3 linked regions of the Lytechinus pictus genome follow. The protein of the gene in region 3 interacts with the protein of the main gene of each other region in a pairwise test. Links are inferred from orthologs where the notes say so. Each region holds a gene or a part of one and is shown on either strand. Other genes may lie near its edges.

What was found.
Region 1: the proteins of phagosome assembly factor 1-like (region 3) and ataxin-3-like interact in binary tests that used the Homo sapiens proteins (3 or more experiments, as listed by UniProt). The link is inferred for Lytechinus pictus from reciprocal best matches to the Homo sapiens genes PHAF1 and ATXN3.
Region 2: the proteins of phagosome assembly factor 1-like (region 3) and BCAS3 microtubule associated cell migration factor-like interact in binary tests that used the Homo sapiens proteins (3 or more experiments, as listed by UniProt). The link is inferred for Lytechinus pictus from reciprocal best matches to the Homo sapiens genes PHAF1 and BCAS3.

What each region holds. Positions count from the first base shown.
Region 1 is NC_087251.1:48,006,505-48,016,875, reverse strand, and holds the start of ataxin-3-like, read right to left. Parts: upstream 4,759-10,371; 5' UTR 4,221-4,758; coding exon 4,197-4,220; intron 1-4,196. Other genes in the region: serine/threonine-protein kinase Nek2-like, read left to right, coding at 10,079-10,174. UniProt on the Homo sapiens protein: Deubiquitinating enzyme involved in protein homeostasis maintenance, transcription, cytoskeleton regulation, myogenesis and degradation of misfolded chaperone substrates.
Region 2 is NC_087246.1:3,616,103-3,627,196, forward strand, and holds the start of BCAS3 microtubule associated cell migration factor-like, read right to left. Parts: upstream 5,224-11,094; 5' UTR 4,812-5,223; coding exon 4,744-4,811; intron 1-4,743. UniProt on the Homo sapiens protein: Plays a role in angiogenesis. Participates in the regulation of cell polarity and directional endothelial cell migration by mediating both the activation and recruitment of CDC42 and the reorganization of the actin cytoskeleton at the cell leading edge.
Region 3 is NC_087246.1:65,437,556-65,447,967, forward strand, and holds the start of phagosome assembly factor 1-like, read left to right. Parts: upstream 1-6,142; 5' UTR 6,143-6,412; intron 6,413-9,823; 5' UTR 9,824-9,954; coding exon 9,955-10,018; intron 10,019-10,412. UniProt on the Homo sapiens protein: Plays a regulatory role in autophagic activity. In complex with BCAS3, associates with the autophagosome formation site during both non-selective and selective autophagy.

The sequences.
Region 1 (10,371 bases), on a different chromosome or scaffold from region 3:
GTTTTGTGACCTGAAACTCAGGCAGGATGTTCACTAATACTTGATTAACCTTATGTCCAAGTTTCATGGACTAGATCCATAAATTTTCAAAGTTATGATAGTAATTCAACAAATACCCCCTACTTGACCAAAGTTCATTGACCCTAAATGACCTTTGACCTTGATCACGTGATGACCTGAAACTCGACCAGGATGTTCACTAATACTTGATTAACCTTATGTCCAAGTTTCATGGACTAGGTCCATAAATTTTCAAAGTTATGATAGTAATTCAACAAATACCCCCTACTTGACCAAAGTTCATTGACCCTAAATGACCTTTGACCTTGATCACGTGACCTGAAACTCGACCAGGATGTTCACTAATACTTGATTAACCTTATGCTCAAGTTTTATGAACTAGGTCCATATAATTTCTAAGTTATGATGTCATTTCAAAAACTTAACCTTCGGTTAAGATTTTGAAAATAATTTTCCCAACATGGTCTAAGTTCATTGACCCTAAATGACCTTTGACCTTGGTCATGTGACCTGAAACTCAGGCAGGATGTTCAGTAATACTTGATCAACCTTATGTCCAAGTTTCATGAACTAGGTCCATATACTTTCTAAGTTATGATGTCATTTCAAAAACTTAACCTTAGGTTAAGATTTGATGTTGACGCCGCCGCCGCCGCCGTCGGAAAAGCGGCGCCTATAGTCTCGCTCTGCTATGCAGGCGAGACAAAAATGGTTAGAATAGGCTAGAATGTTTTAGATATGTTTAGAAACGGGCCCTTGTCGACATATTTACTTCAAAGTGTCCCGTAATTTGACTGCCCTGATCTGGTCACCTTACGCTGGACATACGCCTGGGGCCCGTTTCTCAACACCGTCATAAGTCTAACTTCTTGACTAAATCGGAGATAGTGAGCTACTTGTCCGCTAACCGTTTCACGAAGCCCTCTTTACCAAGATCGGGTACAACAACCTCACTAAATATTTATGACACCTCCGAACCTGTCGTAACTTCTTTCTTAATGACGTAGTGGCATCACGTGGGTAGACTATGACATGCGAAAGTGCCTAGAAATTTATAAATTATAATCTTACGTAATCAATCATATAGGTTGAAATTACATCACAAAACAAGTGGGTTGATGCATTCAATGATAATTGTAATACAAAGAAACTATAAAAACTGTTGGTAAACGCCACAAAACCATTCATTTTGAAATAGTAAAATGATTTAATCGATAAAGATTCTACCACGTCAGGCCATCCATAACTGAACTCGTATTTGTTGTTTTCAGACCCCTATTAACAGTTGGATGAATTCTATCACTAATTTCTGCATATAATTTGTCTAATATCGTATCTTTCGGTATCAATGATTAAAAATGTTTCGTTAAAATATATTTTGATGACGTTTGGAATCGTAAAAGTCCGTATAATTATCATCATTTTGCAAAGAAAACCGTTATGGTTTACTTTCGTAAACTATTAAAATTGGGTCTTTCGGGGGTACCCATCTCAACGTCCACAAGTGATTTTTTAGTCATGAAATGAATTATTCATAATTTAATTTTCTCTGCAATTGAATGCTCCAGTCTTCATGGTTTAAGTATGTATGATGCATAATTCACCTTAGACAGGAATAACCGTCGTTTCTGGGGATTTATTCAACAATTTCTGACATTTTACTGTAATCCCCATTTACCGACGGTAGGGTGTACGTGTGGGCTCGCATGTGTTCTCATTCCCTCCCTTTTGTCAATTCACAGTCCAAAGTTTGATGTAATTTTACACATCGAATTTACAATCTAAGGATGTATAAACAACAAACTTTTAAAACTTAATATTTAAATGTTTGAATACTTTAAACGATATAGATGAAAAAGGCATGAAAAATATACTTTACCGATGTTTAATTGGGTTGAACACGATAAAAATGGTCAAAATGGCAGCCAAACTATAAAATATTTACAAACGAACGTCAACAATCACGAATGTGATATCGATATTGCTTTCGATATTATACGATCTGCTCCATATGCGAACGAAACCGAAGATAAACGATACTAGTTATACTAGTACTAGTACTAGTTATAATCGCGATATATCGATTCGAGACATTAAGTTAATAACGATAATTACGTCATTCAAGATGGCAACTTGCAAGAAAAACCGTCAGGTCAGGTGAAAATGTCTTAGATGACAGATTTCTCAATCATCCAGAGGATTTTTTTCAATAACTCCGGCCCAAGGTATGCAATTACTTAAATTATTTATATTTCCCTGATAATGGAAACCATGAAACTTTCAATTTTGCTTAAAAAACAGTTTTAAATCGCGATCTATAAAACGCTAGTTCACTATACGTTGGCTGTAGGTACGGGGCCCCATCCCCTTCAGTCTATGTATGGTGAGTGGAGCCAACGTAGTTCAGCGGAACAACCAAAATACAGAGACTGAAGCTTTTGGTCTAAATTCACCTGTGCTACTATTTTGAAAAGACTTATTTCCCAATTCATCATAATATTTGCAATTATGTCATAATTTTTCTTTTTGAAAATTATGCTATTTTGTGACTAAGGCTACGTCTCGTCTGCTCTTTTTACCGATAGTATCGATATCAAGGTATTCTAGTTAGGAAGCCTTTCGAGAAACAGGTTTAGTAAGATTGGAACTAACTCCGTGGTTGGTGGATAAAGATATGACTAACTTGTCCATTTGTTGAGAAACGGGCCCCTGGAGTCTAACGTAGGCCTAGGCTAGAGACTTTATTGACTTTGAGGTGTCTTTCCGAGGAGTCTTTGTATGATTGGGTGCCCAAACTTCACTTCAAAGCGAAAGACAAAGAAATCAAGATGGCGACGTAAACACCGCCGTAAGCTCTTCCCGTCTTTTCATAACATTTTTCTCGTTTTTTTAATGAATTCTTGTTTAAAAATGAAATCAATATCGTAGAAATGTCGAAAATGAAGTTGTACCCCATGTACATGATTTAGGGCTAGGCCTAGATCTTTTAGAGGGATAGTAGAAATCTCGGGGGCGAAAGTTTCACTTTCAGGTTTTGGGACGGTATTTGTACTGTAGGAGTGTAGCCATATGGGAAGCAATTCCAGGCTCCATGGGGAGTAAGCCTTCGTATAGTAGACTGATTTTTACTCTCCAGGAGCCTCCAGGCTAAATAAGTAAGTCTACGTTGAGTAGAAAGACTTTTACTCCCAAGAAGCCTCCAGGGCCAGGGCAGGCTAATCGAGACCGAGGCTATTATATATTTTGTTTTTTTTTTAGGTTCCAGTCTGTGCCTCAATGTCAGGATTTGTGTGTCTCGATAGACCTGACCTTCATCCATATAATCGTGGTAAATGCATAATTTCTGCTTCCATATTTTATTAAGATTACTATTGAGTCCCCAATCTAACCGATTGTCTCCCTCGTTTTGCACGGTCGCGGGCCGGAGCTCCCTGGGCTGGCGCTGGGTTTATACTTTACTACTAGTTTTATACTACTAGGCCCTAGGCTAGGGTCGATATAACCCAGAGAGCTCCAGCCCGCGTAGCGGGCTGGAGCCCAGACGCTCAGTGTGCAAACGGGCATTCAGGTGAGAGTACCGTGAAGTTTGGTCAAAATAATTTTGATAATACATAATTAAAACAGAAATTAAGCACTTACCACGATTGTATGGATGATAGTCTAACGAGTGGCAGTTTCCTGACATCGAGGCACAGACTGGAACCTCAAAAAACGATCAGTTCTGTCGCGGTAGCTCTCCTCTTTCAGAATTCAACACAAAATGGCCGATCGAGGGCTAGTATAGCACTAGCGCATATAGACTTTGTCAAATTCGCGCATGCGCCCTACACCCTCTCGAACGGCCATTTTGCTATGAATTTTGAAAGAAGGAGAGCCACCGCGACAGAACTGATCGTTTTTTGAGGTTCCAGTCTGTGCCTCGATGTCAGGAAACTGCCACTCGTTAGACTATCATCCATACAATCGTGGTAAGTGCTTAATTTCTGTTTTAATTATGTATTATCAAAATTATTTTGACCAAACTTCACGGTACTCTCACCTGAATGCCCGTTTGCACACTGAGCGTCTGGGCTCCAGCCCGCTACGCGGGCTGGAGCTCTCTGGGTTAGGGTCGATAGAGTTTAATAAAAAATTAAAATCTTATCTTATCTTTCTAACAAAAACTAATTCGGTACCTTTTCATGGAAGATAGAATCCATCCTCAGCTCGGCCTCGTCTGGCTTAAGACTCGACTCCTATTCGTCCTAGTGATAGAGTTGACAGATCCCTATTCCTAGTAGATCTAGCCTAGATCTAAATTAAATCTAGCAGCTCATCTCTCGAGCTCTCTCATGTAGCTAGACGTGAAGTTAGTTATTACGGACTAGCAGCTCGCTACAAGACGCTGCGCCACCGCACTTCATCAGCGCCGCACGCCGGCAGCTCCCCGGCGCGGAATTGGAAAGGTAGCTTGAGAAACCCCAGCCGTGGTGCCGGTGCTGCTGTGCGAGTTCCGTGGGTAATATTTTTATTTGTAGGCGAGTTGCCATCCGTAAAGTCAACGACGCGATTATGCTTTGCGTTGCTGTTGAAAAGATCTATACCTCTGTAATGATTTACATTTTTATATCAATTCGAATTTATACGACACAGACCGCGACCGCTCTTTTCCATGCTTTTGATATACCGGGTACTCTCATTTAATTCGCTTACTGTTTTTTTATACTCTTTGCTTTTTCTCCCTACTCTGTGTTCAACAGACGTATAGGGCCTACTTGAAAAATCATTAGCTAGCTACGGTTCGTATTTAGCTTGCCCCGGTGCCCCTAGCCAGGCGCGGATCCAGGGGGGGGGGGGGCACGTGCCCCCCCCCCCCCCCCCTTTGAGAAGCAAAATTAAAAATTTGTCATGTAAAAGTGCTATGGTGTGCCCCCTCTTTTGAATTTTTTATTTTTTATTTTTTTTTGCTTGTCAAATTGATCGGGTACGAAATATCCTTAATTTGTAGTTGAAAACCTTTTTTTTGGGGGGGGGGGGCGCGGGCTTGTCAAAAAAAAAATTTCCCAAAAAAAAATTTGTCTCCCCATTTTGGAAAATCCTGGATCCGCCCCTGCCCCTAGCTTCCCGCCGCCCCGAAGCTATTATGATAATGATGGGTGATGGTGACGACGATGATGATGATGGTGATGATGATGATGATGATGATGATATGATGATGAGGATGATATGATGATGATGATGATATGATGATGAGGATGATATGATGATGATGATGATGATGATATGATGATGATGTGATGATGATGATTAGATTTATTTATTTTCCGTTCAACAAAATACAAGAATAGTTTCATACGTATACATTCATTAGGGGGCGGACTGGACGAGCTTATAAACAAACACTATAGAACATCAGTGCAGTGACAGATCCATGGGGGGCGTTTCCGTGCCGACGTGCCCCCCCCCCCCTTGAGAGTCATATAGTCAATATTTTCAATGTGTCGTTCATGTACAAGTGTGCCCCACCCCCTTGCGGTCACAGCAAATATTTTTCATGGAAATATGTCGTTCATACACAAGTGATCAGGGCTTCTTTTGTTTGCTTGTCAAAGTGTAAGCAGGAAATAATGACTTTCAAATTTTAGTGACAACCTTTTTTTGTTGTTGTTTTATTTTTTTTTTGCTTGTCAAATTTTAATTCCTTTGAAAAATGTGCCCCCTCCCCTTGGAAAATACTGGATTAGCCCTTAGCAAATAAGCGATACGCGACTACAAAATTAAGAGAAAATAATATTCAAACTTAATAGTAAATAATAAAATTATAAAAGTGAGGTAAAGGGAGGCAGAGGAAGGAGGGAAGGAGGCCGGGATGGTGCAAGTAAAACTGAAAGTTAAAAGAGGAATATCAGTGCATGCACACTGTCTCTGGGCAAGTTGTATCACTCTGTGACTAAATTTTATTGATATTTAGTTCAACGTTAAAGGACAAGTCCACCACAACAAAATGTGGATTTGAATAAAAAGAGAAAAATCCAACAAGCACAACACTGAAAATTACATCAAAATCAGATGTAAAATAAAAAAAGCCTTATGACATTTTTAAGTTTCGCCCATAAATTTCACAAAATATTTATATGCACATCCCGGTTGGTATGCAAATGAGGGAACTGATGACATCACTCGCTCACTCATTTTCTTTTGTATTTTATTATATGAAATATGAAACATTGTAGATCTATTTTTTGTCCTCATTGTCCTGTGAAACAAAGTTTTCTTTCGCCCTGATCGAACACGTGGAATTGCCATTTTTTTACATTTCATGGTTCAGTAAAGTTGGTCTTTATTGTCAAATGACTCAAATCTGTAAATTTAGCAATATTGTACAATTCAAACAATAAAAGACAAAAGAAATAGTGAGTGAGGGACATTGTCGAGTCTTTCATTTACATATGACTAAATCTGTGCATGTAACTATTTTGTGAAAATAAGCGAAAATTTAAAATGTCATAACTTTCTTATTTTACATCTGATTTTGATGAAAATTTCAGCATCATGCTTGTCTGATTTTTCTCTATTGATTCAAATCAACATTTTTCTGAGGTGGACTTAACCTTTAAAGTAATTGTACTTTAATGACGAGGGGGATGAGGCATGATGGTGATGATGATGTGACGATGACGATGATGATGATGATGTAGATGGTGATATCATGACGGGTGACGATGATGAAAAAGATGAAGATGATAATGACTGATGACGATAAGATGGTTATGACGATGGTCCATTTTCCACTTACTTTTCAACTCCGCTTCGAGCTTCTCCCCCCCCCCCCCACTCTCGTCGTTGAAATTGAACTGATCATCTAGCTCATGTATGTTCTGAAAGATCACACTCGCATAGTAGTATACTAATTCACTACTTAAAGGGGAAGTTCGGGGAAATTTATTATAAAAATAGCATTTAAAAAAATTGTTGAAGGTTTTAGGAAATCCATCAAAGATTACAAGTTATTTATCATTTAACCAACGCTCATATCGAAAAGAATCTAAACGTAATATTGAATTAATGAAGCAAGACTTATTACTTGAGGGGTGGGAGGATGTCTATAATGAAACTGACGCAAACACATCGTATAATCTCCTAAATAATAAATTACAACATTATTATGAAAAGAATATTCCCATAGGAAAGGTAAAAAATAATCGAAAAACACCCAAACAACCCTGGATAACAAAAGGTTTATTAAAATCGATACAGACACGTAATTGCCTTTACAAGTCACATTTACGCAATCCTACTGAAGCCAATTTAAAAAAATACAAAGTATATCGCAACAAGTTAACAAAATTAATTCGTTTATCACGTAAAATGTATTATACTAATAGAATAAAAGATGCCAGTTCAAATACTTATACTACCTGGAAAATCATCAAAGAAGTAATGGGAACAAATGCAGATCCCCCACCTACCGATAATATCACTTTAAATGGTACCAAAGTTGACTCTTCCCTTCACGCAAACTCATTCAATTCATTTTTCACAAATATCGGACCCGAACTTGCAAGCAAGATCAATAGCCAAAATGCGCATTTCACGGATTATCTCCCCGAACCTAATCCACATTCATTTTTCTTGAACCCTACGAACCCCACAGAAATTCTCAACATTACAAGGTCTCTTAATAGCTCAAAATCTCATGGGCATGATAAAATTAGTATGTCTCTTTTAAAAGAAATAATTCACCCGCTTGCAAACCCTCTTAGTCATGTTTTTAATAAATCTCTATCACAAGGTATATTTCCTGACTTATTCAAAATCGCCAAAGTCAATCCAATTTTTAAAAAAGACAATCCTCATGAAATAAGCAATTATCGCCCTATATCTCTACTCCCTAGTATATCCAAAATCCTCGAGAAAATAGTATATAATAGACTTTATGAATTTATCAACAAACACAATTTATTAATTTCTAATCAATATGGCTTCAGAAAAAATTATTCAACAAACTTGGCTTTAATTCAAATTTACGATAAAATAACAAACGCCATAGCTAACAAAGAGCATGTCATTGGTATATTTTGTGACCTCAGTAAGGCGTTCGATACACTTAATCATAATATTTTACTTTCAAAACTTAATTATTATGGTATACGAGGTCAATCACTCCTTTGGTTTAAAGATTATTTAATAAATCGAAAACAATATGTCACATTTAATGGCAACGATTCTAGTTCACTTTCAGTTCAATGTGGTGTCCCTCAAGGCTCCATTCTAGGCCCGCTTTTATTTTTATTATATGTCAATGATATTATCAACACATCTTCTATTTTATCATTTGTATTATTTGCTGACGACACAAATATCTTTTTTTCTCATAAAAATATAACTTCCCTAAATAACATATTAAATCTTGAATTGATTAAAGTTTCACAGTGGTTTAAAGCAAACGAACTATCCTTGAACTAAAAAAAGACCCACTTCATCCATTTTAAACATTCTCATATTACCGATACTCCAATTCACTTACAGATTGACGGTACACCATTAGAGCGGAAGACTCACTCTAGATTTTTAGGCGTCATCATAGATCAAGCTTTGTCTTGGAATGAACATCTGCACCATATCATTATATGTATCTCGAGAAATATTGGAATAATTTCCAAGTTGAAATTTATTTTACCTCATAAAACTTTACTTCTATTGTATAATTCGTTAATACTCCCGTATATAACATATTGTAACGTTGTTTGGGCTAATTGTGGTTCCACAAAACTTACTTCTATTTCTAAATTACAAAAAAGAGCAATTCGCATTTGTACAGGATCGCATTATTTGGCTCACACCGATCCTTTATTTTTTAAACAAAAGACATTAAAAATTGCCGACTTATATACTATTCAAATAGCTATAATTATGTTTAAATATATTAACAATCTGCTCCCTTCGTCTTTTGATAACATGTTTAAATTTAATAGTTCTGTCCATACTTACCCAACGCGCATATCCGGAAACTTTCATCTCTCTAACCCCAGACTGTTAATTGCCTCTAAATCAATTCGACATCATGGTCCAGACATTTGGAATGATCTTCCAAACAATATTAAAACTTGTTCTACCATATACTCATTAAAAGCCACTCTAAAGAAAACTATCATTCAATCTTATCAACCCCTCGCTCCAAATTAAAACATTCACTCAAATATCCACATTCGCTATTTAACATTCTGATTTTACTCAACTGCTATACAGCACCTGCACCTGCAATGCACCCACTTGACCAGTAAATATCAATCTAAGTCACGAATCTTTTTATGAGGCCGCCATCAATTCAAGCCTAACCGCTCACGATGGTGGTCTCCTGCGTTCATTTATTACATTATATATATATGTTTACATTTATAAAAGATTAATTTATACTCACACTCTTATTTGTATTTATCATGTAATATGACTACATTGTTTATATTGTGAATTATTTTGTATATTGTAATTGTAAATATTTTTGTATTGTGTTTTTGAACGCAGAAATAAATGCAAGCAAACAAGCAAACAAACTTTTATTTACATGCATAAGCTTCCCCATATTTTTTGTAAAAAAACAATGGCTTGTCACTTTCATTTTTTTTGGTCACCTTTAGTATATCAATATAGACAATAATTATTTCACAAGGCCGCTCCTAAAAGAAAAAAAAAAGTTTAATCATCATGAACCATTAAAAGATTGAAATTAAAAAAATACGGGGCAGCTGCTCGTATATGACGTAAAAATCTAAAACTTAAAATTCTTATGACTTTCTTAATTTTTTTATGGATTTCCATCAAACCTTCACCAATATATATTTTTTTCTGGTACAAAGTTCTCTTCCCAAATTGTGCTCCACTTATCAAATTGGCCACGCATTATTTGCTACCAATAATAGGCTGCTCACTTCGCAAGCTTACCCAATCAAAAACAATGTCAATCAGCTGGCGTGAATTCAAAATATTGTGCGTGCATGATATTTCATGATCGACAACCTTAACCACGGACGACCATCGACCACACATTTTTTTACAATCGTGGCATTCAAACGCCAAGATGCCTTCAAAATTGAGCGATTATGATATTCTTTATACGATCGGGAGTGGCTCTTACGGGAAATGCAGAAAAGTACGTCGGAAAAGCGACGGAAAGGTAAGTAAACTTTTTTATTCTCGGCTCGAGCCGAGGCTCGGCTTCTAAGTTCTTGCTTGCGCCTTGCGCTTGGCGGGCATTTAAATAGTGTGTGGTGGGGAGGATACCGGTATGGTACTAGGCTACCTGCGGCGGGACGATCGCGAGCGAGCCTGCGATGCGGCGAAGGTCGCTTAGCTCTGGCTGCACTGACTAGA
Region 2 (11,094 bases), about 62 Mb from region 3:
CATTTTATTTTCAACCTCGTGGTGATAGCGGAAGCCGCCGTGAACTTTGAAAGGTCGTATTACCGACAGAGCTCACTGCGCTACTCTCTTACATCGTTTATAATGATATAAATCTTCTCTTCAACCTCGTGGTGATAGCGGACCCCGCCAGAAACTTTTAAAGACTGTACTATTGACGGAGCTTATTGCGTTACTCTCTTACATCATTTATGATGATATTCATTTTATTTTCAACCTCGTGGTGATAGCGGAAGCCGCCGTGAACTTTGAAAGGTCGTATTACCGACGGAGCTCACTGCGCTACTCTCTTACATCGTTTATAATGATATAAATCTTCTCTTCAACCTCGTGGTGATAGCGGACCCCGCCAGAAACTTTTAAAGACTGTACTATTGACGGAGCTTATTGCGTTACTCTCTTACATCGTTTATGATGATTTACATTTTATTTTCAACCTCGTGGTGATAGCGGATGCCGCCGTGAACTTTGAAAGGTCGTATTACCGATGGAGCTCACTGCGCTACTCTCTTACCTCCCTTATAATGATATAAATCTTCTCTTCAACCTCGTGGTGATAGCGGACCCCGCCGTGAACTTCAAATTGATTTGAAAACGCTAGCTACCCAAAACATTTTAATAACATATTTCAAATCATCGTGCGTGCTTGCGTCGTCTACTTCATTTTAATTGCACTTGCGACTTTAAGATGATGCGTCGTAAGAGATCATTCCAATAATTCTAAATCGCTAGCACCTAAAAATACTTCTGAAAGATGTCCCGCCGATCGTTCATTAACCTGTGATCTATGAGAAATATTTTCATTTTATTTTCCTTTGCGCCTTTGCTCGGAAGATGCGTCTTTCGTTTATCTTTCTAATAAAAATCACTCGGTTTATTTTAAAGCAATAACACCTCAAAACCCCTGGCTTTAAAACATGTTCCAAACGATCGCGCATGTTGGCGACTTCCATTCCAATGCATTCGTCTTTGTGACTTTGTCAGGAAGATGCGCGCGACCGCGAACAACATTTTGATGTATTCCTTTGTTTTTAAACATCGCCGATTCGATTTTCGATTCGATTTCGATTTTAGAAGCTTAACTGCCGATCCGATTTTCGATCTGATTTTTGATCCGATTTACAACATTAAGACCAAAAGCTTCGTACTCTGTTTTATTGGTTGTTTCGCTGAACTCTGTTGGCTCCACTCACCAATTACAGAGACCGAAGTTGTAACTCGATCTGTACAGGGACTCAATGGCCATATATTTATGTATTAAGCTCGGATAAACCAGGGAAGTGAAGTTGCGCGACAGCTGAAGTAAGTCACTGATTTTTGTCCTGTTAAGTTTATTTTTTCCCGTTTTGGTGCATTTCAGGTCAAAACGGAATAATCTTTATTTTGGTCCAGTTCTCATATATTTTAATGAAATAAAGACAAAAATACATGTAGGTGAGCCTCGTCGGGGGGATTTTGCATTTTTAACCCCCTAATGGCGGCTGCACGATCGCGAGCCATCTGTGTACGAGGAAAAATTTAAAAAAATGTTAAAAAACTCCTCGAACATATCGAAGGACGAAGCAGACGGCTGCCAGCTGTATAATCTAATTATGCCAGGGCTAGCCAGGAGGCTTCTAGAGAGTAAAAATCATTTACTAACGTATGCTTACCCTCCACGAAGCCAGGAATTCCTTGCTATTCATCTGCACGTACCGACCAAAAACCTGAAACTTTCGCCCCCGAGCTTTCTACTTTCCTTCTAAAAAAAGATCTAGCCCTAAATCATGTAAATGGGATATAACTTAATTTCCGACATTTCTACGTGTCCGTAACATTGGGGAAGAACAATATTCAATAAGAAACAAGATGGCGGCGTAAACATTGGGCAAGTCTCTTCCGTCTTTTCATATTTTTCTCATTTTTTTGATGAATTCTTGTTTAAAATGAAATCGATAGCGTAGAAATGTCAAAAATGAAGTTATATCCCATTTACATGATTTAGGGCTAGATCTTTTAGAAGAAAAGTAGAAATGACTAGGGGGCAAAAGTTTCAGGTTTTTGGGCGGTACGTGCAGATGAATAGGAAGGAATTCCTGGCTTTGTGGAGAGTAAGCATTTAGTACTCTCGAACTCGAAGACTCTAACATTAGAAGCCTCCTGGACCTGGCTAGCCAGGCCCTAGACAGCTGGCAGCCGTCTGTTTTGAAGAGTTTTTCAACATTTTTTTTTTTTTAAATTTCTCCTCGTACACAGACGGCTCGCTGTCGTGCAGCCACCATTAGGGGGTGAACAATGCAAAATCCCCCCGACGGGGCACATCGATTTTTGTCTTTATTTCATAAAAATATTGAAAAAGAATTGAACCAAAATAGAGATTATTATTTTGTTTCGGCCTGAAATGCACCAAATCGGGGAAAAAATAAACTTAATAAAAGGGGAAAAACAGTCTTCAGCTGTCGCGCAACTTCACTTCCCCGTTTTATCCGAGCTTGAATACATAAACATGTGGCCATTGAGTCCCCTGTACAGATCGCGCTAGAACTTCGGTCTCTGTATTTGGTGAGTGGAGCCAACGTAGTTCAGTGGAACAACCAACATAACAGAGACCGACATGACCGAAGCTTTTGGTCTAGCCTAATCCAGGGAGCTCCCACCCGCGCAGCGGGCGGGAGCCCAGGGGCTTACCGTGTATTTTACCATACTCACGGGACTAGGGTAATTTATGGTCTAAATATTTTTCCAAATGAATTGTGAAAACAGAAATTATGCACTTACCACGATTATATGGATGAAGGTCTAACGAGTGGCAGTTTCCTGACATCTGGGCACAGACTGGAACCTCAAAAAACGAAAAGTTCTCTCCTTCTACCCCCGTCTCGATCTGCCATTTTTGTTATGAATTGTAACATTGTCCCTGGGTTAGGTCTAGCCAGGCCCAGCCTACCTCAGGCGATGTTCGTGCAGGCTCCACTCCACTTCACGTGACGTATTATTCACGGCCGATTTCAAAACATCGCATGCGATCGCGATCGATCAGCGACCCGATCGCATGCGATGTTTTGAAATCGGCCGTGAATAATACGTGTGAGGAAAAAGATACTAGCCCAAAATCACAAATTTTTAGGATAACCGGAGGATGGACACGGAGTGAAATACGGGTGTAAAGTAAGATATTAAGTCATTCATATCCCTCTTAATATTTTTTTTCTTTAATTTTTACGATAACCATGATTGCCATCCCACCTTTTATGACTCGGAATATCCGATCTAGTTCACTGTCCCGATGTTCGGGTAGGTGGAGCGTAGTGTAGCGGTAGTGAAGTGGAGTGGAGCCTGCACGAACATCGCCTGAGGTAGGCCCAGCCCACTCTAGGCGACACCCCAATACTTACCCGTGCTAATAAACTGGGACTCCACTCACGCGCATTTGGGCCGCCCTAGCTTAGAACTAAGCAATATTATCTAGAAATTGTTACATTTTAGTCATTAAATATGTTCTATTAAATAAATTGATAATGTTTAATCGGTACTCACCGGTTCTTTTGTTGCATTTTCAGACCATTTCTCACAATTCTTCGTAAATATTTGCGGCAAATTTTGTCGCCATAGACAGCTTAGCATCCATCTTTATTGATAAATGGAGCGCCCTTTACGATAGTTGTTAATGCCGCGGAGAAATCGTTAGGCATTTTGGCCTGTGTTCAAGGCGTTCTTTCTGTTTTATTTTTTATATTGAAGATTGTGCATTTGTTGAATAGCGCCGTCTACGTCAGGTATGAGATCGAGTGTATAAATAAACTCTTCCAAAATAATTATGATTCCGACCTGGCGCTGTTTAACTTCAATCTCTTTCACCTAAATTAGCGATGAATGCTAGCATTATAAAATATATATTATTAACGTCTGACAAAAAGAATAACCAACCGATCAGCTGACGAGAACGCGAATCACGTGATCTTCATATCAGCTTCGATCGCAAGTCAGAAGAGAAGAGCAGCTGCCCAGAAAATCAGGAAAAAGCCGTGAAAATGTAAGTTCCCCTTCATTTCTTTCATTTTTTGTTGTTGCTAACGATGCATTTACACTATAAAATTATAATTTAAATAAGAGAAAGGAATATACTATAGCTTGTACTTGTGATATAATATATAAATATCCTGTTCTCAGAGATTTCTAACCAAAAATACTACTGATGTCGCCTATGAGGTCCATACATGTAATGTTGGACCTCATTCATTGGTACTAGGAGTGGCCTAGACAGCTGGCAGCCGTCTGTTTCGAGGAGTTTTTTAACATTTTTTTATTTTTTTAATTTCTCCTCATACACAGACGGCTCGCTATCGTGCAGCCACCATTAGGGGACTTACAATGCAAAATCCCCCCATCGGGGCTCTTCAATATTTGTCTTTAATGAATCAAACTTTTGAAAATTAACGCGACCGAAATGCAAATTAATATTCCCTCTTGGCATTAATTGCCAAAAAACGGGGAAAATCAAGTTAAAAGGAACAAAAACAGTGACTTACCTCGGCTGTCGCGCAACTTCACTGCCCTGTTTTATCCGAACTTAATACACATAAACATATGGCCATTGAGTCCCCTGTACAGATCGCGCTAGAACTTCGGTCTCTGTATTTGGTGAGTGAAGCCAACGGAGTTCAGCTGAACAACCAACATAACAGAGACCGAAGCTTTTGGTCTAGGAGTGTCCCAGCCCAGGTTCTCGACGTTTTGTTCACAAACCTGACAGGCTGTGGCCTCACTGTCTTTCCTCCACGCGGAACTCGTCTTGCACCTTCGGCGTACGACATTTTGTTGACTGTATTCGAGCCCGAGCCCAGCCCCAGGACCAGCTGCTATCCCTGACCCTCGACTTGTCCGACTCCTATTCGGCCTTCGGTTTGTTGTTGTTTGGGCTCAGCTCAGCTGTTTTCCGCTGTGCAGTGCAAGATCACGAACAACTCAACGCGCCGTGAATCAGGCAGGGATCGGCTCGACCGACTGTTGAAATTCGACGTGCAGACGCCTTGTTTGCAGCCACTTGAGACTTGAAAACTGGGTATAGCATTCTTTGCAACCTCTCTCATCTAACCATACTTCTCATTTTTCTATTTCCGAACAAGAAAACCAGCTCAGTGAAGAAAAATTAGGATCTTGTAGGCAGAGAAGGAATGACGTTATGAGCTCCTTGTTGTCGTCTGTATGTAAATTAGATCATTATGCAAAAGTTCAACAGTAGAGGGCGAGTTATTATCGGATGATCTAGTGTCCCTGTATATACAGGGACACTAGGATGATCTATTTATTTGGTCTAAAAAGTTCGTGCAATTATTCACTTGGTCTATTCCAATTCGTTTTATGACCCGTTAGGCTAAAGCCAAGCCCCTCTCGGTCTCGCACAATATGTTTGCAACGTGAAAACCCTTCGCCACGATGTTTTGTGACTTTTTTCCCTCCAGTCTCCCACATCTTGGCTACATAAGGTATTCAATGATCTGCATTTTTTTTTCAAGAGTATACTTTACTGTACTTTACTTTACTCTACTTTACTTTACTTTACTTTACTTAACTCCAACGATGATGTTGTTATATTTTCTAGGGACACCACAGAGGGTTTCTACACCAAACATAATTCACATTATCGGAGCTCTCTGTAGGGAGTTAAAACAGCGAAAAGATATGTCTCACAAGGCGCACAAATTAGCATAAAAAGTTTAATTGAAAAAAATCATTATTATACAATTTCTAGACAAGGTCGGGGACAACATGCTTGCCCATCTACGACACGGTCGACGCCAGAGATCTCAAGGGGCCATTATGATGTCCCAAACAAAATAGTCTAGTCCAGTTTTTAGTTAATGACATTTTGCAGAAATTTGTTAATATACAGTGCGTACAACAAAAAAATTATCAATAATCCTGTAAAATAATATATTTTTGTAATATCCTTAAGTTTTTTTCTGATAATATTTAACCATTGGTAAAGATCTCTTTAAGCAAATGACAATATAGCTGTCGAAAAATCTTTTCGAAGTTGAGTGAGCAAAACTTACTTTTGAAAATTTTGTGAAAAATTATTTGCGGAGAACTTGGAAATAGTTATATGAATAAAAGTAGACGTTAATCATGAAGAACACATGCATGGCCTAAGCTAGGAAGATTGATTTCAAAATATCTTTGACCTTTTTATTCTGTTTCCTTTTTAAGCTTGATTTTCCTTCTGTTAATTATTGTCATATGATAAAAACAGTAAAAAAATGCTGTAGATGTCTGAAATAAACTTTTGTTTATTATTATATGTCCTCAGATCCAGCTGGAACAAAAAAAAAAGGTAAATGCTGTGCTTACCTAGGGTTAAAATGCTATTTTGGGTGGCAGTGTTGTTACGAAAATGTTTAATGTATCTGTTTTATTTCAACTGGCTAAAAATGCAAAAGAAATATATAAGAAATGTTCCGCACCGGTCAGTTTGTTTTCGCCCTTTTTTTTGACAAAGCGTGAAAATGAGAATTGTGAACATGGGACATATTCTCCGTAGGATAGTATAGAAATAATGCCAGCGCGAAGCGCGTCCTGAATGTTTTGGATATACTGACCTAAAAGGGATATTTGCAGAAACAAATGAACACGACATAAATTGTATCTCTCTTAACAAAATAATGCAAGAGCGAGGCGTTGATATTTTGTTGTCTCTGAAAGCAATAAGCACTTTTATCGGAAGCATTCAAGGGGATTTCACCCTGACGAAAAGGGTGTAGAAACTATTGGTGAAGGTTTGAGAAAAATCCTTTGAAGATTAGGAGAGTTATTACAATTTCAAGTTTTTGATTTGTGACGTCATAAATGAGCATAATATGATAAACTGCCAATTGCATAAATTTCATTTTATAATAGTTCGTGATGACTAATTTTTCATTTTCTTATTTAGGAGCAGGTGTGAATTGTTTTGTGTATTGAATTACTAAAGGTACAGTAAAAACTATTTTCAATTTTCTGAGAAAATTTCATTGATTTTTTTATCATACGATACGATATGTAAAAAAGCTGCTCGCATATGACGTAAAAATCAAAATCAATTTTTTTATAATCCTATTAACGTTTTGCCATGCAGGGTGAACTTCCCAAATAACATATGAATACAAGATATTTTGTTAAAGCAGAGGTGTAGGGTGGCTTTTATTTCAAATTTCTTAACATATAGTTTTATTTATGCGAGGGAGCGTAGCGACTTTAAACAGTGAAAATTATAACTTTAAACATATAGGGACAAAATTTAGTGATAGCTGGAGGGACGCGTAGCTATAGGCCTTTTCCAGTGAGGATGGGGTGTGAGGGCCCCTGAGTACCGATCATCATTAGGCCTTGTTAGTTCTTTTGCAGGTCTATGTAAATTTATAACATATATATATTTATTTATTTAGGAGTTTACAATGTGGTATCAGATCAATCAGAGAGCGCATCCTCAGACAGATGTTGATGTCTGAGGATGCGCTCTCTGATTGATCTGATACCACATTGTAAACTCTTGAAGAATTAAGACGGAGGCCCATCGAAAATTCGAGTGAATAATAAAAACTTTATTGGCAATAAAAGCATTATCATCAGCATTATATAGGCCTAATGATGATCGGTACTCAAGGGCCTCCACGCCCCCATCCTCACTGGACTCGCCATCACCAAGTTTAAAGATAGAATTTTCACTGTTCATAGTCGCTACGCTCCCTCGATTACAACGCTCGCATAATCATTAAAAAACCCTGTTCATACCTTCCTATGACCAGGACAGGGCCGTAGCCAAGGGCGGGGGGGGGGAACCTGGGTTCCACGGAACCCCGCCGCTTGCCAACACTCATGGGCTGAAATCCCAGGGGGTGGGCATGCAGGGGGACGCGTCCCCCTATCAAAAATAGTAGGGGGACACAATATCAAACGTCCTATAAAATACTATTTTTTGTCTTTTATGATGGAGAAAAATACATAATTCACAATCGAGTGAATTTTGAGTGAAAAACTTTTTTTTTGCTTGTCAAAGTTTCGAGCTCCTGGTCCCCCTCTGCCTTTGGGGACAGATTTCTGCCAATGCCAACACCAAAAAAGAGCTTTTAAGTCAAATATGCACACATTCTGCAGGCGATTCGAGTATCATAATTTTGTTTCAGTGAGATATGCAATTACGCAATTATACATCCTGTTCATTATTACAAAAGTGCTGAATATAAAAAAATGGTCAGCTCTCGATGCGCTCCGTTATTTGATTAGCAAGATATGTATCACATTCCTGAATTAAAATGTCCACTTTTCACATCAGTATAAGCCTATCAATAATTTTCAGCGCTTTGCATTCGCATTATTGTTTAGTCAAATACTCATTCGTAATTACAAAAGGTGCTTAGAATAACCCGTTGTTAGATCTAAATCCCTCACCGAAATTCAGCTAACGCTTCGCGCTTTCATCATTTATAGTAACTAAAAATATCCTCTTCACAATGGTACTAGATATTAAACAGTGCTTAACTTTATTAACTCGATCTTCACGCTAGCATTAATTTGTTCATTGGGATACGAAGCTCGTTCTTTATGTAAAAGCGTGCTTATAATGTCAAAATTTTAGATTGGAATATCATAAATTTTCAGCTCGCGCTTCACGCTCGAACTATTTCTTTTATAGCAAGAAACCCATCCTTTTCATGATTACAAAAAATGAATCGAACGTCCTTTTTTTTTTAACTTAAACCTAAAAAAGCCCACGTTTCACATTGTTTATTGGATACATATCTTGTTCTTTATTAAAAACGTCCGTTAAGTGTCAAGTTTTTTTCAGAACGAAATATCAAGAATTTCAGCTCGCGCTTTGCGCTCGCGCATACCCATCCTGATCATTAGTACAAAAAAGTGCTTAGAATTTGAAGCTAATTCGCGCTTGCATTATTTGGTTGGTGAAGATATGTATCCTCCGCATGATCACTGCAAACAGTCCTAGACAGGTCCCTTCTCATGTTTTCGGGTCAGTATATTGCAGATTTCAGCTCGCGCTTCTCGCTCGCATCAATTGTTTCTTCAGATAACATCCTGATTATTGGTATACAAAAAAATGCTTAGACTGTGAAGTTTTCACATCAGAATATCAAACATATTCATCATTTTCGCATGATTTTGGTTGGTGAGATATGTACATTCTCCACGAGTCCCTGCAAACAGTCCTTATGGGTCCCTCTTCCTGTTTTCAGGTCGAGTATACTATATAAAAATCTCAGCTCACGCTTCGCGCCCGCGTTACTTTGATATACCCATCTTGATCACCATTACCAAAATTGCTTTGAACTTTTTTTTCTTCAAAATACATATACCGTAATATTAAAAATGAGCTTGTCCTTGCATTATTTATCCAAGCGACCGATCGGGGAAAATGCAGATGATTTTTTTCTGCCATCCCCCCCCCCCCCCTTCCCCTATTCGCGAAAGCTGGATTCGTCCCGCCGGGAAAAAACGGAACTGATCATAAAATAAACAGTTCACTCCTTATATAAGAGTCGGAACCCCCTCATAGAAAATCCTGGCTACGGCCCCGCGGGAAATTTTTGGCTCTTCCCCTCCCCCCGGCCACTGACCCCTGCAATACGCCCCTGAAAAAAATGGCCTTGCCCCCTTGAACTCTTATAATACACAATCTTCCCATTTTATCCTACTCTGTCACGTTTTCTGTTTAGCTATGACGCGACTATATATGACTCACGCTCTGTACGCATACGTTGAACACGCCAAAAGCTAGCCTCTCTTCTGTCATTTCAATAGAGAATAACCTGGTTTTGTCATCCAATTAAGTGTATTTTATGCGTAATTTAGTTAATTTGATGTATTGAATAATTCATTTGGATGATCAAATATCCATCTTTTTGAAGGAAAGAAAATGTTACAAAGTTGATTTCAAATGAACAAAGTTATTTGTCTCAGGTACTTATCTCTTCTTTCTTCTTTAAGTCTGGAATAAGTCTACAATAATAAATAATCATTCGGGGAGAGAAAGCTAAGCAAGGAAACTACGCAAAATGTCGGGTAAAAATCCATTTTTTGATGAAGAATCAGCAGGAGGTGGAGGAGCTGGAAGTTCATGGAATGACTGGGAGGATATTGGAAAAGATTCGTCGGACTACGACCCGAATAATGATTATGGATTCGATTTACAGAGCAAGCAAATGGAAATTGAGAGGCGGAAAGAGAACATGTTATCGAGCACACACAGGTCTATGGGATTGATGTACGAAGCTGAGCAGGTCGGCAATGAAACTGCGGCGGTATGTATTGTGCGATGCGATGCGCCGTGCTGCTTGGTGAAAAGTGAAAACAATTGGTTTTATAAAATAGCTGTATTATTTCAAGCATCGCGATTGGTCAATACGCGTCACATGACATCCAACTTTTTTGTGCACTGCACGGTAGTGCAAAAGGTGTGCAACGAAAATTGACATTGCACTCTCGAGCAAACCAGTGCGGTAAAGTCCAACAAAACTGTACTGTAACTTTTTTTAAAATTGTTTCTGTGTTGCTATTTTATAAAACAAATAATGCACTTGCTCTGTCGTGCGTAAAAGTAAATGCAGAGAAAGCTCGGTTTCTTCAGATGGAGCACACTGGGCACTCGCCGCAAGCGGCTCGTGCACAGCACGACTCCTATCTAAAGAAACCTCGCGTGCTCTGCATTTCCACTAACGCACTCGGCTGCATGCATTATTTGTATATTATTGACATCGGAGTCCTGCATCAAATCAGTCGGGCAGCTGGCCCGGGGGGGCCACTTCCATTCACGAGTGGATACCATGCGCGACCATGGGGTCTCGAAAAGCACCCTAAACACGTAATTTCCATATTCTGAAAATGCACCCCTTAACAAGTATTGGCGTCTAAAACCCTACCCTTAACAAGTATTGGAAATAAAACGATACTCTTGGCAAATATTTCCTGAAATGAACCCCTAAACAAGTACAGGAATGTTTTATTGCGTACCTACGGGGGGGGGGGGGGGGGGGGCAGGGGGGGCAGAGACCTTGAAGACCTTTTTTTTTTTGCTTGTCAATATTTTTGCTGGTACAATAACCT
Region 3 (10,412 bases):
GGCCAGCTATCATAAGCAAAATGCTTGAAAGAACAGAAGCCAGTATTATAATAGAATAAATACTTTCATTTTTATAGCTCTATGCTTTCATTCGAGTTTCCACGATTCACAAACACAACCGCACACTGAACCTCTCCATTTCCAATCATTTGTAAATAATGTGATTGTTATGATTTATTTCAATAAAAACTTAAATATAAAAAAAAAACATTGATATTTTATGATCCTTATTCTGAGTTTCCAAAATAACGCATAACAATGCTGGCTACATGTTTGTTTCTTACTTCAAAATTGTTTATTATAGTTGGATTTATATGGATTTTGTACTGTTCTGTCTGAAATGAGAAAGAGTTAAAACTATAATACTGCCATTCTCATCAAATCACAAAAGCAAACAGTAATTTCCTCTCTGCCTGTTATGTATTGAAACGGTATATGACGACATATGTTTTTCTTTTAGACTGTCAGAGTCAAATTATCACTAATAATGAAAATGTATATCAAATGACTGTCTTTATTCTCTCTCATTCATGATTGGGATAATAATGCTCCAAACTTTAATGCAATTATGGCTGAATTTACATTTTATTTAATTCCGTTCATTTCGTTTTATTTCCATATCCAACAAAATGGTGTATATACGTAATGCAATGTAAACACTAGAGCCCAATAAATAATCGTATAATGTTCACTAGTCACGATACGTCCGTCACAGAATGGATACCAAATTTTATGATCATTGACTACTTTGGTCTTTCCGTTAATGCACACAATCATTATTTGATACTGCAGCGATGGGTGTACATGCATAGGAAGATCCAGGGGGGCCAAACTGCCCACTCCCTCTTTTTGGCGGTGTAAAAAAAAAAGAAGAGGAAGAAAGGGGGAAAATAAAACGAAGAATAATGGAACGAGAGGAGTGACAAAAGAAAATAAAAGCATAAGAAAGAATCAGTGCTTAAAAGGTTCCTTTTCGGGTCATAAAAAAACCCACTCGCGCTTCGGGCTAGCATTGTTAAAGGGATGGTCCGGGCTGAAAATATTTTTATCTTAATACATAGAGTAGAATTCACTGAGCAAAATGCCGAAAATTTCATCAAAATCGGATAACAAAATTAATAATAAAGTTATTGAAGTTTAAAATTTAACAATATATAGTGGAAACAGTCGTCATGAATATTCATTAGGTGGGCTGATGATGTCACATCCCCACTTTCCGTTTTCTTATGTTATTACATAAAATCATAATTTTTTCATTATTTCATACTTGTGTGAATAATATGTTTCCCTTATAATGAAATAAGTTGCAGCAATAAATATCTAATGCACTAAATCAGTTGTCAATCCAATTTTTCTAGTTCTTGGTGGAAAAGCTTGAATAAACCTAATTTCATATAATAAAATACAAAAGAACAAGTGGAGATGTGACATCATCAGCCCACCTAATGAATATTTAGTCATGACGACTGTTTGCACAAAATATTACTAAAGTTTTAAATTCAATAACTTTGTTATTTGTTATCCGATTTTGATGAAATTTTTTATTTTGCTTAGTGAATTCTACTCTATTTATTAAGCTGTAAATACTTTCTGCCCGGACCATCCCTTTAATTATGATACACAGCTTTTTCTTTATTAATAAATCTGCTGAACATGTCTAAAAAAATCAACTCGCGCTTCGCGCTCGCTCGTATTATTTGATTGTTGGAATATGTACATGTTTAGTTGAGTATTTTTGTGGCATTAATGGAGGAAAAACACAAAAATTCAACGTTTATAGTTTCCACCCTTGGTGTATTGTTCCATACGTCGACATCTATTCTGACTCTTGCTCTGACACACCGGATATTTGTCACATATATATATATTTAGATATATATATATATATATATATATATATATATATATATATATATGTATATATATATATATATATATATATATTCGGGTTTAGGTCAATATTTGTCCTGAGACCCAAACGTTAATTCAGGGTATGTAACCCGATATGACACAGAAAGGGTCAAATGATTATGAACTGGAAATGGTCACATCATTGACCTTACTTCTTTTCAGTTTTTTGAAACGGGGTGGATAAAGATCTGAAAATAAATCATGAGTATTAAAGCATAATGGTTAGTCGATCGCGTGCATTTGAGAGTCCGAAAGTCCACTCACCGCGCTTCAAAACAGGGGAAATATGTCGGGTATCTTTATAATTATTGATAACCTCATACCTGATTGGTTGGATTATGAAAATTTAATTCATTTCCATTAATTTGATGTAAATGTTATTTAGATTCAGTATTCACGTTTCGCTATTCATTTGAAAGAACACAAAAAGGCCCAATTTTTAACCACTTACAGGGCAACATGCTGTCCACGAACCATTGGTTAAAATATGTCCAAATTGGGTCATAAAAACAAGTAATTGGGTAATGAATTTGCTCAATTGGATAATAATTGCCCAGAATATAATGTTTTTACCAACATACACAACCCAACACAGTGGACAGTATATGTTGCCCAACATTTTAAATGCTCACAACTTTTGCTATGGCAATCGGTCCGTATTTTCGAGACACTGGCACCTTAATTTGTTTTCCCACTGAAATATCAAGAAGGTATCAAGAGGGTCAAGAAGGTCGAGATAGTTTGCTGAATAGATTACCTACATGTTGATATATAATACTATGTGACTAGTAATGGTCACATTTCATTATTCTCTTGAACTCTGAGATCGCAAGCAGCAGAAACTGGCATATTTCATTAATTGTAAAAATAGCAGAATAAATAATAAAACAATCTTGCCTAAGGTTTTAGAAAAATCCATCAAGGAATAAAAGAGTTATTAGGATTTCAATTATTTGATCGTGACGTCATATGCGAGCAGCTTCCCTACATATCGAATGGTAAAACCAAAACTTACTGCGGGTGATCCTTTGCCATTCAGTTCTACCCTGGTCTACGTCTTCAGCATCCAGTAGGGGGAAGTCCCACATCACTTCTGACTTGGTCCCTCTATCTGGAAGGAGGACGTCCTAGTAAAAAAAAATCGTTTAAAAAATTCAATGAAATGAATATTTTTCAGAAAATTGAAAATGGTTTTCAGATTTATTTCAACACCCGTTTCTAAAAAGAAAACAAAAATAAGTCATCACAATCCACTAAAATTGAAATTTATGCATTTCATATAACAAAACATATGGGTAGCTGCATGCTCGTTTATGACGTCACAAATCCAAAACTTTAAATTCTAATAACTTTCTTAATCTTTAATGGATTTTCCTCAAACCATCCCCTATATCTTTTTTTGCTATTTTTACGACAAACTTTTCTTCAGGGTGAACTTCCCCTTTAATACAGTCCAAACAAAATCAGTTGACAGTAACAATGTTCTTGTGCTATAAAGCTTTGCGTACTGAAAATTATAATATAGCTCCAGTTTGAGAAAGCCAATATTTATAGTAGTATCCAGTCCGGAATTGATTTTGATTTGAACTTGGGTCTGCGTACGTATAGTAACTAGCAGTCTAGCATCGTCTATACGTAAACTAAATGAGCGAATATGACTTAATCCAGAATTTGACTGGTCTCAAACCTAATGCTAAATGTCGGATAAATATCCGACAAACCCTTTCATAAAACATTCCCCTGATTTAATATCTATACAAGTTTTATAAAGTGTACACACCTCAGAATTGTGGAAAAGACATTGTACAACAAACTCACCCCCCCCCCAATTTTTTTCTTTTCAAATCATGGAGCGTTCGGCAAAATTTCTTAGAAGTTCCGAGAGAGTGAAGGGAGCGAGCAAAAACTTTGGCCTTTGAAAAATGAGAATCTAACTTTGTGATAGATTTTGACGTGATTTTCAGAATATGACATTTTATATTTTCCTCATTTATCCTCTTCTTTTCTTTTATAATTCCCCTCCAATTCTTTTTTCCCTTTGTCATGTTTGTCGTGGAACTTTTTTTGTGGGGGGGGGGGGGCATGGCCCCAAGCGCCTCCCTTTCATCTGTACGCCAGTGAATTTAAACACTACTATAATAAGTCATTCAAATCTCCATTAATTAGGGAAACAAATGCACGACTCACCTGATAATAAGATTATCTTGAGCAGCAAGATCCTTTTAAAATAAGTTTTAATTGATTGGCCTATATACGATGAGGTGGCGCTATATACTCATCTTCGGGAGCTTACGTGTACGTAGAATGGTATCTCTGTCATGTCTGTGCATCTATTGAACTGCGTCCATTATAATTTTGACACGAAATAGGCACTTTAATTTGATACGCCCCTAACAAACATGCATGCAGGGTGGCCGATAAAGCATTGCGATGAATGGAGTTTCCGGGGAACCTCTTTTAGTTACCAGGGCTTTTTTTAGTATTTCGGGGGCTAAATCGCCCCAGCCCCCAGGCGCGGTTCTAGATTAAAAGGTTTTTTTTTTTTTTTTTTTTTTTTTTTTTGGGGGGGGGGGGGGGCTTCTGGGGGCTTGATAAATTTTCGACGTTGGTTTATTCCATACAATGAAAATAGCCTATTGTGGGTAGCCTTATACTGATCAAGTACCTAGTCCCCTCTCCCCCATAAGAAATATTTATAATATCATGCGAGGGAGCGTAGCGACCGAACGAAAAAAAAAATCTCATTTTCAAAATGCATGTGAATTTTTCATCTATATCATGCATCAGGGCCTGATTGGTGTTATAGATGTAGAAAATTTTTGACATTGTCTTTACCCCCTCTCGCCGGCATGGATCGACACTCCTGATTCTTAACTATAGTGTTTTAAATAAGTTTAGCCTCATTTTGGGTGATTTCAAGTTCAGTGTTGACCTTTTGGTGTTGGTGTTATGTCAATTTTACACGAGTATAACACCAAACATAAAATGAAGATGTCCTGAAAAGTCACTCACTAGAGAGCATTAATATATGCTGCATAATTATTTAGATGTTATTTTGCGAAGGAGCGTTATAGGGCCCACATATATATCTTTTTTTTTTCTTTGTGGTCGAAAACTTTCTGGGGGGCTTGAGCGAATGTTTTTTTTTTTTTTTTTTTTTTTTTTTTTGGGGGGGGGGCTTCAGTCCCAATACCCACCCCCTTAAAACCGCGCCTGCCAGCCCCCGTGTGTTTCCCTGGATTGATGTAATGTCGCCTTGCTCATAATTAGAGTGAGCTCATCAAGTGAGGAAAAGAAGGCACTCTCTTAATTGTACTGACACTGATAGAAGGGTAATTAATGTTTTTATGTTGATATATCTGTCTGCGTCCATATATTCTATAAATAGCACAGCGAAGAATAACAAGTAGGCCTACCTTCGTCCTATTCCTAAAATAAAACATGCATGGGTGAATCGTAAATTGAATTTATGAATATAGTATACAAAGAATAATCCCTCGGGTCTGCAAGACGACCCGTCTTTTTGTATTTTTGCAATAACAGGGCGCCCTAGCTGGGAACGAATTTTCGAACATGGGGTGCTGATGTATAAATTTGACAAGCAAAAAAAAAGAAAAAAAAAAGAAAAGATTTTACTACGAAATGACGGTCATTTTGTCCCGAGAATTTTGACAAGCAAAAAAAAAAGGGTTTCACTACAAAATGAAGGTAATTTTGGTCAAGAGATATTTGACAAGCACAAAAAAGGGCCGGTTTCACTACGAAAATGAAGATCAAGTTGGTCCCATAAAATTAAAAAAGGAGGGGGTAGTAGGTTCTTCCTTTTGTTAACATAATTCGGGTGCTGCTTATGGAGAATAACCTTGAGAATAACACACGCAACAAACCCCCCCCCCCCCCCCGAAAGTTGAGGTGTATATGCTTCAGTATATTCCCCAGCAACCCCGCTTTAATTATTCGGACTTTATCAGGAATCACCGGGAACCATATCTATCTATCTATCCACTTATTTTTTATATTACATTCTCTTCTCTTCAGTCTCCATATTTCTTAATTTTCGTCTGTTCTATTATTCTCATTCCCATTGTACTTGCCTCTTTTGTCCGTGCGCCGCAAGAAGATAATTTATGTCATTATGTACATGTAGTCTGAAAGACAGAACTCATATTGTTGTGAATTAGTGAGACTATATTCGCTCATAAAATGTGGCTAAATTCTACCAGATACACGTACACACAGAGAATCGGAGTATATTTTCAGCCTTATATCTTACATTTTTTGTTATTACTGTTTAAGTGTAGATTCTCAGTCTGTGCTTGCAGACTAGTCATAAACCTTTCTGTAAATGCGACTGGCGCATTAGGCTAGCAAGCTGTACTGGGGTTGTAAACACTGAAACGGAAATCCGCAACGAATTCTTAATCTTATGAATTTACCTTTGACAAGCAAAAACTACATGTGTTTGAGTCAATATTTCCTTATTAAAGTACGTTCGGCGGAGGTGAGTTAAATGGATGCCCACTGATTGAATTTTAGCGTATTTCTGTTCATTTGATCATGGTGTATTTTTGCAATGGCAATGACATGTTTTGATGGTTGAGGCTTGAGCGCAAAGTCAGCTCAGCGACAGCGTACCGCGGAGGTTATTTGTGTTTTGTCGTTCGACTTGCAATTGCATGTAAAATTCAGCTCCTTGGTAAAATGTAAACAACCGAGTGAGATCTACAGTAACTGTAATTCTTAGGGGTGTTTCACAAAGAGTTTAACTGTGCACTAGTTCAAGTCATGCTGGTTTGTGTCTCATGATCATCAAACTTAATAATATAAAATATAATACTAGTTAATACGATCTGGCCCAAATAAATTTTGTGACTCATTCAATACAACAACAATGATGAACAAGGACACCAAGGCAAGCCCAAGGCCAAGGTTGATACATCCTTGTTCTTAGACCGATAAGCTCCCCTGAGACTTCGTCTGGCGCCGCGGCATCCCCTCCGTCAATAAATAGATCGATGACGGCCATTGGGCTTGTAATGGTGGAGCAAATTCGCAAACAACCGCCGCTTAACAACATGAACAACATCGATCGTCTGTGGAGAAGGTTGTGCTTTTGCACCCTCCTCAATTAGAATTGTAGATCTATATAGTCTTTTAAATTTATCCTTAGATCTAGTATTATTTCTTCCTCTTTCCCCTTTCAAAAAACACGATTCAGGAGTAATTGAGGAGGTTGCGAAAGTGCACCCTTTCTCCATAGACGCTGTAGTTAAGGGACGGTTGTTTGCTCCACCATTACGAGCCCAATGGCCGTCATCTGTGTAGGAGGAGGACAAAAAAATTAGAAAATGTTGAAAAACTCCTCCGAACCAGCGGATTTATCAGTCTACTATGTTCTCTGTTAAGGCTTGGTCCCACTGCACTTATGGATGCAGAGAGGATGTAAAACAGAAAAGAATCTTTTCTGCAAAGTGTATACAATAGAAACGTTATATATATCCATTGTGTAGGGGAAGGCGGTGTAAGTTGTGACACTTTTTGCTATTTGCATGTTAGAATTGATATGACTAATTATATTGTCGAAATAAGTACCTTGCCTTTAAATTTGATTCTTGGGAAATATTTTTCACCTCCTATATAACTTTCTACCCCCCACACTGAAATTCATTGTGACCTTTGAAAAAAAACAATGTCAAATATGGCTCAACTTGCCCCATCTGTGGGGTAAGTTGAGCCACAAAAACTACGTCCAAAATGTATGCGGGAAGAACCAGCATGTAATCTTTTTATTTCAAGTCTTTTCACTTGCTAATTCTCTATAACATCCTCTAAAAGTAAAAGAACTGTCATGTGAATTTGCACCTTTCTGCCTGCATATCAATGGCTTTTCAAGGTTTTTTTTTTATTATTATACATTACAATAAGAATTACCATGGCTCAACTTGCCCCATGTTGGCTGGCTCAACTTGCCCCATGTTGGCTGGCTCAAAGTACCCCAGTCCGAAATTAATGCGATATTTTCACATCCACACATTTTTTATGCATCCATCATGTAAAAGACTATATGACAAGAATGAGATTCATACCTGGACTAACAATATTGTTCTTATTTCTTTATCATATTTAAAGACGTCTGTGGGTAAAAAGCACTGATCTATTTTACACCCTTTTTTACTTTTTTGGCTGAAATTTGTATTTTTCCCTCTAAAAAAGTACTTTTTGTTTCAAAGTCGAAAACGATGTGGTGGGGTAAAGGGTTATGTAATGTGTCATCAATACATGACACCACCACAATGTCTGACTCATTCATTATTGGCCTGAGGGTGGTGGCTCAACTTGCCCCTATGCTCAACTTGCCCCGCCTTCCCCTACTCTTTGCATACTTGTTTGATACGCATTATATCCATCAAGCATCCGTCCACTGTGATTTCATTGTTCGCCCAATCCCATTTTGTCCATTGTCTGGAGCGAATGAAAACGGATGGAGCCAGCCCGAAAGTTTGCTTGTCCGCTATATCCATCATGAATACATTTTGTGTCCGTTGGCCAGTGGGACCAGGCCTTTTTGCCTTTAAGTAAGTGTTACTACTTACTCCCTGTGTGGTGAAATAACGTTGACAATGTTTGGCTTATTTTCTCTTGTTCTAGGGGACAAATGCTTGATTTTTTGACACTGTCAGTTTCCATTATAGCTATTCGTCATATAACGTGACTCTTAAGTAAATTGAGTTTTTCTAATTATTTAAAAAAAATAGAGATTGAAAAATGGCAATTTTCTTTCAATTTTACTTTCCACCAATAGAGGGCTTACATAAAAATATGCCAAAAATTCAAGATTTTGAGTGCTCTGGTGAATACAAAAATAATCCCCAGGTTACTAATGAAAAATTAATTGCAACTGTATGGAAATTAGTGTTTTTGGTTACAAAACTGATATCTTAATGAACTTTGTAAGTGTAGGATGCTCTTTACTGCATTGGCATTCCATAGATCTACATGTATATGTAGATTCCCCACAGGCAGGGTGGTTGCAGTGCACATGTGCCTAGGATCTAATGTAGATCTAACAAGCAAATTAAAAAAAAACTAATTCACAACAATATGCAAAAAAATAACAGAAATTAGGGTCTAACGTTAGATCTACAACTTTTTTGGTTGTAGATCTAACATTCGAGTCTACACAGTGAAAGAAACTCCTTAAATGTGAAATGTTAGTTAGGTTCCTGACTGTCTGTCACTGCTGTTTAAGAGTGGACAGCATCCACGAGAATCGTCCAGATAAAGCTTAATTAAGGCACCCTAAGGCCTAGACCAAAAGCTTCAGTCTTTGTTCCGCTTAACTATGTTGGCTCAGTAACATGTCAGATATTGTTGAATAATTCCCCAGAAACGACGGTTATTCCTGTCTACATAAGGCCTAGGTCTAAACAAGGATTAAAGGGCAGGCGGCTAGGTACATGTAAACGGCTGAAATTCATCTGTTTGGAGGAGTTTTAAACATTTAAAAAAATACTTTTTATGCAGGAGGTATAGATCTAATGAAGCAAGCTGTAGTCCAGTGGAACAACCAGAGACTGAAGCCTTTGGTCTAGCCGCGAGGCAGACAGCTCAAATCTGTCTGCTTGGAGGGGTGTTTAAACATTTTTTACTGTATTACTTTCTCCTCCTATAACGGAAATACCAACGAAACAGAGACTGCAGGCCATTGGAATTAAGGAGGCTCTTCCTCAGTTTTGGTGTTTTTGACACTCAATTCGCATTAAGTGCCTACCAGCGAAAGCACCCCTTTTTGTGTTTTTTTCTTGTTGATGCTGTCCACTGTCCAATAGCAGTGACCCCCCCTGGCTCCGAGCTTTGTTATTGTATGCTGAGCATGCAGTTGCAAATATTCTTATTTTATTTTCATTTTCAGGGATTCATGTAGACCAGGAGATGAATAATCTCATCTTCATTACACTTAACATCAGCCCCGACGTCAATCTCTGAGTCTAAGCAGGTCGAGGGACAAGCAGAGAAAATAAGAGAGATCATATCAGACTAGTCATGTTAGATGTAGAGGTTGTACCTGGTCGTTCCCTTGGCAGTGAACAATGGGAGTTTGTCCTGGGTAAGTTTGTCGGTTTTTTATTTAATTTCTGAGTATTTAGTTCTTATTCTCACACTTATTGTATTCGCTGAGCAAAACTTGAGGGGAAAATTGCAACGTGAATTCATCCATAATTTTATATTACAAAATCCATCCTAATTAATGAAAAAAAATGTGTTTTCAGTTATTCAAACCTGAGGCTTAGATTTCTTGTCATGTCAGGGTCGAGAAAGAACACTGCAAAAAAAAAAAAGAATTGATTGAATATAGATTGTAATATGCCATGCAAAATGCCATCCTCAAACTTTCAAAAAGATATTTTTGTGAAATGAAATGAAATTGTTCTTAAACTGGATAATTTTATTTATGTGGCAAAAATAAATTAAGCTCAATGTGTTCCAATTACCTATCTTCT